2 linked regions of the Caenorhabditis elegans genome follow. The protein of the gene in region 1 interacts with the protein of each later gene in a pairwise test. Each region holds a gene or a part of one and is shown in the gene's direction. Other genes may lie near its edges. The genes, in order: lin-13 and hpl-2.

What was found.
Region 2: the proteins of lin-13 (region 1) and hpl-2 interact in a two-hybrid assay, tested with the Caenorhabditis elegans proteins (one study listed by BioGRID).

Annotation. Positions count from the first base shown.
Region 1 is NC_003281.10:7,706,246-7,711,358, reverse strand, and holds the start of lin-13 (Zinc finger protein lin-13), read left to right. Parts: upstream 1-1,867; 5' UTR 1,868-1,886; coding exon 1,887-1,967; intron 1,968-2,010; coding exon 2,011-2,192; intron 2,193-2,873; coding exon 2,874-3,347; intron 3,348-3,391; coding exon 3,392-3,608; intron 3,609-3,655; coding exon 3,656-4,000; intron 4,001-4,053; coding exon 4,054-4,310; intron 4,311-4,347; exon of another isoform or gene 4,348-4,497; intron 4,498-4,565; coding exon 4,566-4,767; intron 4,768-4,814; coding exon 4,815-5,113. UniProt on the Caenorhabditis elegans protein: Involved in repression of vulval fate, possibly by a tumor suppressor protein Rb-mediated mechanism. May act in a common pathway with retinoblastoma-like protein homolog lin-35 and hpl-2 to influence the ER stress response in the intestine.
Region 2 is NC_003281.10:10,751,728-10,757,689, reverse strand, and holds hpl-2 (Chromobox protein homolog hpl-2), read left to right. Parts: upstream 1-2,168; 5' UTR 2,169-2,179; coding exon 2,180-2,221; intron 2,222-2,495; coding exon 2,496-2,669; intron 2,670-2,936; coding exon 2,937-3,175; intron 3,176-3,874; coding exon of another isoform or gene 3,875-3,947; exon of another isoform or gene 3,948-4,099; intron 4,100-4,133; coding exon 4,134-4,287; intron 4,288-4,658; coding exon 4,659-4,730; intron 4,731-5,135; coding exon 5,136-5,366; 3' UTR 5,367-5,436; downstream 5,437-5,962. Other genes in the region: K01G5.10 (Haloacid dehalogenase-like hydrolase domain-containing protein 3), read left to right, coding at 1-14; rnf-113 (putative E3 ubiquitin-protein ligase rnf113), read left to right, coding at 53-190, 254-986, 1,709-1,992. UniProt on the Caenorhabditis elegans protein: Seems to be involved in transcriptional silencing in heterochromatin-like complexes. Probably does not act as global transcriptional repressor, instead targeting a subset of genes. Involved in RNA processing mediated by Tar DNA-binding protein homolog tdp-1.

The DNA of each region.
Region 1 (5,113 bases):
CTCTTCTCAAAGTTATTTATTGACTGATTTTTAAACTTTAATCCTATTTTGGAGTTATTGATTCTGCGTTGCGGTCGCGTCGCGGTCACGCCACCCGTTCCTCACTTTTGTAAATTTTCTGAAGGTATCCCAAACGAGAAATCGTGCACAGCGGCTGCGTCGCGGTTTTTCATTTATTCAGTCTCGTTTCGTGTGTGGCTGGTTATTTACGCGGGCTGCCGCCGCCCACTTTCTCTCTTCCCTGCAGTGGCCTAAAATTGTATTGACCGCCGCGAAGTGTCCGCAATTGTGCGCCGTGGTGAACATTAACACACACGGGACCGGAAAAATGTGTAGTGTGTTTTTGAATATTATTTTGTTTTCTAGAGAAAATAAATATAGTTTAGAGTACAGTAAAATTATCGCTGCAAGACCACACTATAGTTGCAGAGTTCTTGACTGAGCGCTTCTTTAAGTTTTCTTGCTTTTATTTTATTTTTCCTGCTCATTGGGTTCAAATGTGGGCTTGCTCGAATTTCCACTTTAGCTGTTTTCTAATTTCGGAGCTGTATACTGTTCAAATCTATAGAATTTAACAATGTACTTTTTTCAAATGAATAAATCTGAAAAATGTGGCACCTGTAGCGATCACTATGACTGTGATCGTGGCGAGACCCGCTCAGAAAAACAACGTGTGCCTTTAAACTGACGAGTGAAATTTGTTGCGAAATTACGATAATAAAACTGGTTGGTGTGTTTGCACAGTTTTCGAAAGTTCTGCCTAATTTTTGGGGTCTGTACTTACGCGACAGAACATTTTATTATTTTCAGTGTACAGTATCCATTTACAGATACCCTTCTTTATTTTGAATCATCTGACCGTTTTAGACCCCAGTCCTTTTTGAATTTGTTTCCGTGGATTACTGTAGTTGCACAGCTAAATTTTTAAATATTTCAAACTGTCGTCAAATATAGCGCCGTAATGTACGCAAACACTTTGGGCAAAACCCATTCACTTTTCTTTTTTCTCCAATCGATTCGTCCTTGCTAGCCCCGTTGCAGTAGACACTGCAGCAGGGCAAAGAAATAGGTCTCGTTTCTCTGCGCCCTCTCCGCTGCTCATAGTCTTCCTACCATCGTTTGTCCGTCTGACCAATAAATATGAGAGACGCAGAGTGGCATATACGCTCTGCGGTACTTTCTATATGACACAGCCTTCAAATTCTCAATTCCAATGCGCGCCAAAAGATCGGTAAAAATTTTTGTCGCAGTTTCAAAATTTTTGTCGATTCCGTAACACGTTTCCGGATTTTGCTTTTTTAAATGAGAATATTATTTTTTCGGGGGTTTTAAAATATATTGAGTTTGAAGTATGACAGGATGTGCGCTGATTCTGCGTGTAGTCGTGTCGAGATCAGTAATTAGTGGGAAAGGGCTCACGAAAGTTCAGAGTTCGGTTTTTTGAAATCATTAGACCTCCAATGAAATAAACTTATCTAATAAAAAACCTAAACATTTTAAAGAGTTCTTATAAGTGTGTTCAATGGGTCGGACACGCCCACATAACCGCGCCCCGTATAAAATTTGTATCATAGTAGTGAGGTTAGCCAACGAATTGCAGTATATTTCACGCGCAAATTTGAAACAATTAAGTTACTGGTATTCACTATACATCGTAAAAAACCGAACAAACGTTTAAAAATACGCAAGTTAGGCGTAAATTAATTTCGAGAACATATGATAGATTCTTGAATAATTATCTTTGATTCAAACTGGAAGTTCATGTAGATTGATATTTTAGTTTTTTTTTGAGATAAAGCTTATCTCCAGTCATTCTTTTCGTTCAGTTCTCTCATTTTTTTCTGTTGCCTTTTTCAAAAAAAATTTCAGCTCTCCAAATAACAACTATGGATGAGTTTGAGCTGTTTCAACAGCTCAACCAAACAGCCCCACTCGTTAAAACGGAGGAGCCAGAAGTTCCAGATGAGGTGAGAATCAGTAATCAAGTTGTTTAAATTACCCCAGAGAAAGTTTCAGCAAGCGAATAACAATCAAAGCGCTCCACTGCGTACAGGATTATCTGATCTCAGTCATGAGATAGCAGCTGCCAAACAGAGAGAAGAAGAGGAGGCACAACGGCTTGCTGATTTTATGCAAAAGGATATGAAAGAGCCTGCTGTCAAGAGGAAGAGAGGATCAGAAGAATATAAAAAGTAGGTTAAGTTTAAGTTATTCAAGGAAACTTTCAAAAATGCACTTAGAAAGCATTCACAGTCAAACATTTGTTAAAATTGCTAAATTTGTGCGAATTTATTTAAATTTGTGCCACTAGAGCGCACTTTCCTCATTCGCAATTCACATTTTTGAGGCCCCACGAAAAGGGGAGCAGAACGAAAAGGGGATCTGCAAAAAGGGGATCTGCGAAAAGGGGAGATACGAAAAGGGGAGATACGAAAAGGGGAGCAACGAAAAGGGGAGCTGGCACAGTGCCAAACGCACAAAACGCTTTTTTATTCTCATTCAACGCACGACTTTGTTATAACCACACTCCGTTATTACGCATCGCGCGTTGTTTAGCGTAAAATACACAAATAATGCGTGCGTTGAATGAGAATAAAAAAAGCGTTTTGTGCGTTTGGCACAGTGCCAGCTCCCCTTTTCGTATCTCCCCTTTTCGCAGATCCCCTTTTTGCAGATCCCCTTTTCGTTCTGCTCCCCTTTTCGTGGGGCCTCACATTTTTCTTGCATCAGGTAATTTTTTAAATTCAATTTAGACTGAGTTTCACCGAGTTTTCATTTAACTGAACGAAATCTAAATACCTGGTTAAATTTTTATTTTTTCATTACCATAAATCAAAAAGGAATTATATTTACACTTACATTGAATATTTCAGAGATCCTCTTGAATCGAAAGCTCCGTTATCCACATTTGGACACTCTTCCCGACCCCGTAGATCAGTAAACTACGCGAGTATTGAACGAGGTGACGAAGCTCAAGCTCAGTCACTGGTTACCGATTTTGGAAGCCGAGGGAACCGGAAAAAGCCGAAAAGAACACGAGATGAGCTGGACGAAAATTATATGGAAGAAAATGAGGGTAATTCTGGCCGAAAGAAGAAACCTAATGCAAAAGGCGCATCCCGTCAATTTCAAGTTCCGGGTTTACCAACCTATGCTAGTCAATATTCAAGACCTCCAAAACAAGAAGATGTGTTTAAAACGATTGTCCCATTAGCAGAAGATGCGCGAGCAGAAGGTGAACGAGTAATTGGATTCCGACTAGATTCACAACCTGCTGTACGGAGGGCTTCTGGAGGATTTCGACGGTTTTGTGCATGGCTCAGTGATAACCAGATTTTTTCGATAATGTTAGTTTCTAAAGCAACGTTCAGATTCTCAATTTAAAATTCAGGCAAACTGTCGATAAACTTTGTATCGTTGGGGCAAATAATGAAGATCATGACGAAATCCTATTGAAAAGTATTCGTCATGTATACAATGCAATGCCTCCAACGTTTCGTCGTGATTGGGAGTATGCTGCAAGGAAGGATGTGTTCGATTCAAGACTTTTTGTTCAAAATATGCCGATGCCGCTTTCCGAAATCTCGGTCACGGACCCGCGTCATCCGGTAAAATTTACGGTTGTTGATATTTATCTAAATCAAAAGTTTTCCAGCCAAGTCCGATTGCGCGCGGGACAACTGTTCGCCCAAATTGCTGTGAAAATCAGCCATTGTTCTTAAATATGTGTGAAACTATTGAACACTACCTAGGACATCATGACGTGGTTCACCTTTTCGGATGTGATATCTGTTACAGAGTTTATCCGTCTCGATATGAATTAACTAAACACGATTGCAAAGAGTTTGCGGAGTACCTGCGTCAATTAACTTTCAAACAGCAAACTTTACATCTTGAAGCCGCGTACATGTACCTCTGCTGTTCTCAGTGCGGATTGTGGCTGTCGGTAAAACCATCAGGCGAAGGAAAGAAAGGATGGACGTATTTTGCAACTGCATTGGTGAGTCATGAGTGATTATACATTTTTTTCTCTGATTACAATTATTTTTACAGATGAACCATTCTTGTCAACCGTTGGTTCCGGTCGTTGCTTACTTCCCAAAACCGTTGAAAGATGAAGGGAAAGGAATACGAATTCAATTTCAAGTGATGTCTGAACTAAACATTGGACTTCCGCTGAGTTGTTCTGAATGTAACATTGAAGAATTTCATTCTGTTGTTGAAATCGAAGAGCATTTCAAAGAAAAACACGAGGCTAATCATACCTGTATAAAATGCGGAAAAACATTTGGAACCGAGTTTATGTTGAAGTGAGTTTTCATTAGAAAAAAATAGTTCATGAAGTTTCAACCACTATTCAAGTTAATCTTATGAAAATTATTGATAAGATGATTATAGAACTGTGGAATATAAACGCGAAGCGAATTATAAAAGCAGAGTGTTACTTTCCAAAAATGTTTTTTTAATGAAATTTTTGGTCTTAGACACTCAGACAACAAATACAATTTAAAGATATTTATTTTTAATTGCTTCGAAACTTTTTTCTTTATTTCTTCAAATTTTAGACATCACGCGCAATCACATACAACTCAAACCGCACAGTTCGCCAACTATTTACAAATGTCGGCTACTTACCAACCACCACCGAGTTCTGGACGTTTGCCATATGTCGGTTTTGGATCGAGTATTCCTGCGATCGGAGGACTCACTAGCGGAGAAGTACAAGCTCTTGAAGCATCAGAAAACAAAAAAAGTGAATTTGTAGAGGTAGAGTGCAGTGAAGCATTTCAAGTTCTAAAATATTCAAATTTCAGCCAGATGAGTACACTATCCGCAAAAAACTACTTCGGTGGAAGCATGCAAAAACTAAGAAGGAAAATCGTAATATTACTGATAGTAACGAGAAGGAATTTTCATACGAACCGGGAGAGTCCTCTGGTGAAGAAGATTTTCAGAAAAGTCTTCTAGAACAAGATAATCAATCTTCGTCTTCTTCTGATTCTGATTCCGATAGTGATGATTTCACATCAAGCAAACAAAAGAAGAAAAGAAATATCAAGATTCGTGGAGATTTGGGATATGAACATATTAATAGAAATAAGTTTTTCGAGCG
Region 2 (5,962 bases), 3.0 Mb from region 1:
TGAAGCTTTATTAATTAATTGAATTTAATAAATAGTTTTAATTTTTCAGATAATGGATCTCTTCCGAAAACCGAAAAAGCGCAATGCACCCGTCGTTCGTAAAAAGGAAAGCTCAAGTGATGAGGATCAAGATTCAGAAGTGAAGGATGTGATTCAAAAGCGACGTCGTACGAATCCGATGGTCCAGTCGGTGAGATCTTGGTACTTTAGTGCTCCAAAATTTTGGAAAATCCCAATAAACTTTGAAATTCAGACCAAACAACTAGACGCCTCAACACGACGTGCTGATAATTCATCGGATGATTCTGACGACTCTGACGACAATCAGGATATCGCAGTAGCAACTCACTCGTTCGCCGCTTCAGGAGATGCCGGTCCATCTGGACCACGTGATCAAGGTGCCACTGCAACACTCGAAGTGGACACAGACTATTCACACGATGCCCAGGCTCAATTCGAACGAGTCCAACAGCAACTGAAGGAAGGCGTCGAGAAAGACGGAAAAATTCTGTACAAGGGAAGTGCACTGTATGGAGCCAAAGAGGCGAAGGATACGGCCAAGGGAAACGCTGCAAGTGGTTATAATCGAGTTGGGCCCGTTCGGGCGCCACAATTTCTACGACAAACAGTCCGTTGGGATTTTGCACCGGATATTTGCAAGGATTACAAGGAGACTGGATTCTGTACGTTTGGAGATTCGTGTAAATTTGTGCACGACCGATCGGACTATAAACACGGATGGGAGATTGATGAGGAGTACGAAGCAGGAAAATATGGTGCTGAAGACGATGCGAATTACGAGATTCATGAAGGCGACGATACGTTTCCGGAGGATTGTTTTATTTGCGGAAATCCATTTGTTGATCCGATCGTGACAAAATGCAAGCACTACTTTTGCACCGGTTGTGCGTTGAAATCGTTCCAAAAGTCGTCAAAATGCCCAATATGTCAGCAGAATACTGAGAATATTATGAATACCGCAAAAGGTTTGAAATAGAACGATTAATTCGTGATTTTCGCAAGTTTTGGAAGGTTTTTCGGCGCAGTTTGATACTTACATGTTACGGAGGATACTGCACGTGGACAAGCGTGAATCTTTTTTCACATTTTTTGGACAATAATAAGACATTATAACTAGAAAGAGAGGAGGAGCCTAATTTCGCAACTCTGCGGCACGATTTTTCGACAATTTTCCACTGTTTTTTTTTTTGGTTTTTTTTCTGGTTTTTTTTTCCAAAAAACTTCGATTCTTCCTGTTTTATTTTTTTTTACGAGAAAAAAATCAAATTTAATTCGCATAACATTTCGATTATAGTTCATATTTTTACAACCAATTTAGCTTGAAATATCCTCCCAATCTAATGTGAATTAAAAGGAATAAAATCGAAACTTTTATGGAAAAACCCCAAAAAAGAAAAAGGAAAACCGTGCCGCATGGTTGCAAAATTGGTTGCAAAATTACGTTCCGCCTCTTTTTCTGCTTTTTGGAAAACTCATTTCTTTGGTAATTTGGAATGTTGGAAGAGAATCAGCGAAAATAGTTCAAAAAAGTAAATTTCAGCCAATAACTCACAGTTGTCCGGGTGAAGTACAAAATCCTTCGTAAATTTACATGCAACAAACCGCGCTTTTAATCCAAAACTTGCGAAATTCACAAGATAGTAGCTCGAAAAATGTGGCAAAAAAAAATTAATTTTTAAATTTTCAGAGCTCCTAACCTACCTGAAACGGAAGAAGCAACAACAGAAGCAAGAAGCCGAGAAACAGGAAGAAGAAAAAGATAGTGACGATGATGAAAAACCACACGAATGCGACGATCACCATCATCATGATCACGAAGATGAGCCCGAGGAGCCTGAAAACGACTCAAATGTTCCAGAAGCCGAGGAGAAGAGCGATGAGGAACAGGAGATTATGATGGAGGATGTGGAAGGGCTTGAAGGTGGAGAAAATGACTCTGAGAGTGATGATGATGATGCTGAAAAAGATTGATAATTTTTATTTTTTTTTTAAATATTTCTGTACGGTGATTGTCTGTGAGTAAACTAAATATGATTTTTTTTCTTGTTCGAGCCTTTTTTTAATTTCAAGATATTGTTCGAATCTTTATTCCATATTTTTTCTATGTTTTTTCAGATTTCTCCCATTTTAGCTCAAATTTATTTCAGCAATTTCAAAAATGTCGAGCAAATCAACAAAGCGAGCAAAAATCGAAGATCCGGTATGGAACGGCGAAAAAACCAAAAAATCTATTTTTACAACAAAAAAAACTAAAAAATACAATTTTGCAACGAAAAAAAACCAAAAAACAGTCCATTTTGCAAAAAAACAATAAATCAATTTTTGCACTAAAAAAAATATTTTAAAAAAACAATTTTGCAACAAAAAATCTATTTTTGCATAAAAAATCCAATTTTGCTAGAAACAAAGCGACAGTATAAGTTCCCCGACAAAGAAAAAAAAAGTCACATTTTATTCAAAAATCTGATTTCCAGAAGGACAACGTGTTCATGGTGGAAAAAGTGCTGGACAAGCGAACTGGAAAAGCCGGCAGAGACGAATTTCTCATACAGTGGCAAGGATTCCCCGAGTCTGACTCTAGCTGGGAGCCGAGAGAGAATCTCCAGTGCGTCGAGATGTTGGACGAGTTTGAGAGGGAATTTTCAAAGGTTTTGAAGAATTTTTTAAAGTTTATTTTACTTGAAATGGTCCTAAAAAGCGAATTTCATAGTGAAAATTGTTTGAAAAATCTTCGATTTTGCCCACTTTTCCGTGCTGCAACTGTTTAAATTAGATTTTTGTTCGATTATTCTCCTATTTTCACACGGAAAAGCTGGTAAACTTGAAGATTTTAACTAAAATTAGGTTTTTTAGAGTTAAAATTACAAAGTCATAAAATCCGATTTTTCTGCAACAAACTTATTTTATTTTTACAGAGAGAGAAACCAATTCGCAAACGACACAGCCAGAAGCCCGAACCTTCCGAAGATCAAGCGGATCCAGAAGAGGATAAAGATGAAAAGAAGGAAACGAATCAAAATGACAAATTCTCACTGGAAGGCAAGCAGTTAAAATGCATTGTCGGGCTCACCAAGGGACCTGGGGAACTTCATTTTCTGTGCAAATTCAGTGATGACACGGCACGGCTTCTTCCAGCGAAGGAGGTGAACAGTCGGTGAGTTTGGGAATTGCTCCCGGTTGATTAAAAGTGTATTACGGAAACACTCCACCCAAAAACTTTAAAAGTATCCGAAAAAAAATATTACGGGAACACAAAATTCTGAGAATGCGTATTGCGCAACATATTTGACGCGCAAAATATCTCGTAGCGAAAACTACAGTCATTCTTTAAATGACTACTGTAGTGTCGATTTACGGGCTCGAGTTTTGAAATGGATTTTTGTTCAAATAGTGGCATTTTTGCTTAATTTTAATATTCTATCGGTAAATCAAAAAAATATGATTTCGAAAATAGAGCCCGTAAATCGACACAGGCACTACAGAATTTACTGTATTTACTGTACTGTAGTTTTCGCTACGAGATATTTTGCGCGATACGCATTTTCAGAATCTTGTGGTCTCGTGATACGCGTCGATGGGGATTTCACTCTAAAATATGCCGGCTGTACTGCACATAAGTGCCGAAATACCGAAATACCACGAAAAATATGAAAAATTGGACTTTTTCACTAAGAAATTCGAGGAAAAACGGAACAATTGCGTTTAAATTGATAAAAACCATGGCGCGGTAATTCAAACATTCAAAATTTTTCTGACTATTCTGCGTATTTAAAACTGAAATCCCGATCGGCGCTAGAGTTTTTAGCTAGGAAGCGAACCTCAATTTGGCATTTAAAAAAGCTCTAAATTTCAGCTATCCGAGCCAAGTTATCAGATACTACGAATCCAAGCTAACAATCCAAGACCCAAAAGCCGACGAGCTTTAATCACTCCCCACCCCGATACACGTGTTCAATATCATGTTCTCTCATCTCATTCCCATATTCTTTTTGAATTATCTTGTAAAATCTATACCAATTTTTGTGCTAACCCCTGAAATCGAGACTAAATATTATTGAATCAATAAAAATTTCTTGAGACACATTACATTCGACATTCTATTTTCCATACAGATACCGCCCGTTCGTCGACGCTTACGGCGAATTTCTGAAGAAAAAGATGGAGAGACGACACAAACGGATTTCCGAGGGAAAGAAGAAGCGTTCGATTGAGGAAGATGATGCAGATGATGAGTGGCCTGAAATGCCACCGGGACATCGAATTCTTGTGAGAAAATTTGAAGTTTTAGAAGGAGAAAATTTTGAGAAAAATGAAAAAAAAAAGTTTTCTCTGAAATGTTTCCAAAAAACAGTCTCTACACAAGGTCCAAAATTTGAACACCTCTCGAAAAATGTTTTTTTTAATTAAAAAAAATTTTTTTTTGGGAAAACATTTTTTTTGAGAAATTTTTTTAAAACTATACTGTTTTTAAATCTTTGAGAAAAAACTAATTTTTTGCGAATTTTGAATTCTTTTAGGTATTCTTCTTAAGGAAAAAGTAGTTTAGAAACTTTTTTTGGAACAAAATTATGTATTTTTAATTTTAGAATAAAAAACAATTTTTGAAATTTTTTTCAAAATTTTTATTTTAATTCCAGACAACCGAAGAACACGAGCTGCAACGTAGGAAGGAATCGAAAATATCGCAGGACGTTGAGATGACTGAAGCGGTAGGGGTCTTACCACGAACGAAATATTTTTTGAGGCCGCGCCTTTAAGAACTACAGAACACTATGTATCGATTTTTCAAAGAAAAAGGAAAACATAGATTTGTAAAAGAGATTCCTGAAATTCGTTTAAAAATCGATCTCTAGTAAATAAAAAAATGTCAGAAATTGTAAATTTCGGGATTTTTTCGCCAAAAAAATAGCCTTCCTCATGTGGTGTCAGAAAGTCTCATTGCAGTTTGATCTACAAAAAATGCGGGAATTGTTTCCCAGAAAAAATGTGACGTCAGAACGCTCTTAACCATGCAAAATCAGATAAGATGTCTGCGTCTCTTCTCCCGCATTTTTCGTAGATCAAAGCGAAAAGGGACTGTATGACTCCACGTGCTTCCTTAAACCATTCTTCAGTTTCAGCAAACCGCGGCCGATATGCTCAATGATATGCACATGGCGGCCAATGGAGATCTGCTTTCCAGCTTCCCACAAGATTTCCTTGAAGACTCTGGCGATGGAGAAGTTCACGAGGCGGCCATCCTCTCCGTTTTCGATGACAATTCGAATAGCCCGCCACCGTGTCCGATCGTTGTCGACACTGTACCAGACGATGATGACAGTCTCTTGTTCCCAAGAAACTCATAAATTATTTGATCTCCGCTGTTTCTTTTTTTTTTCGAAAATCCGATTTATATAAAGTTTGAACATTATCTTTATATAATGGATAGTACAACAAAAATCTCTTTAGAAATATATATAAAAAATATGTTAGAAACACTGAGAAGCTCATGGTGCATCGACAAATTTTCTGCATTTGCAGAAAATCCCACAAAAATGAAGAACATCGAGAACAAAACTCATGGTGCATCGACTAACAAATTTTTCGGCCAAAAAAATCTGATAAAATATGATGGCAAACAGACTTCCTAGAAACACCTGAATTTCGCCCGTAAAAAATGAGTGCGCCTTTAAGAGCTACAGTAACCCACTAAATCATTAAACTGAAAGTTCCTTGATGTCGAAAGAGAAACAAAATTTGACAAAAAAAAATTTATTGTCAGAGAAAAGTAATAGAAGTGAAATTGTGTGGGGAAATAAATACGGACGGGGAGTTTGAAAAAAGAATGGGACTATACGAGGTCATAAATAATACAATTGTGGGGAACGATGAGCATAGAAAAGGGGAAATGGGGCTCCATAAAAAAAATGAAGGACCTAAAAACGGGGGAAAATCACGAGAG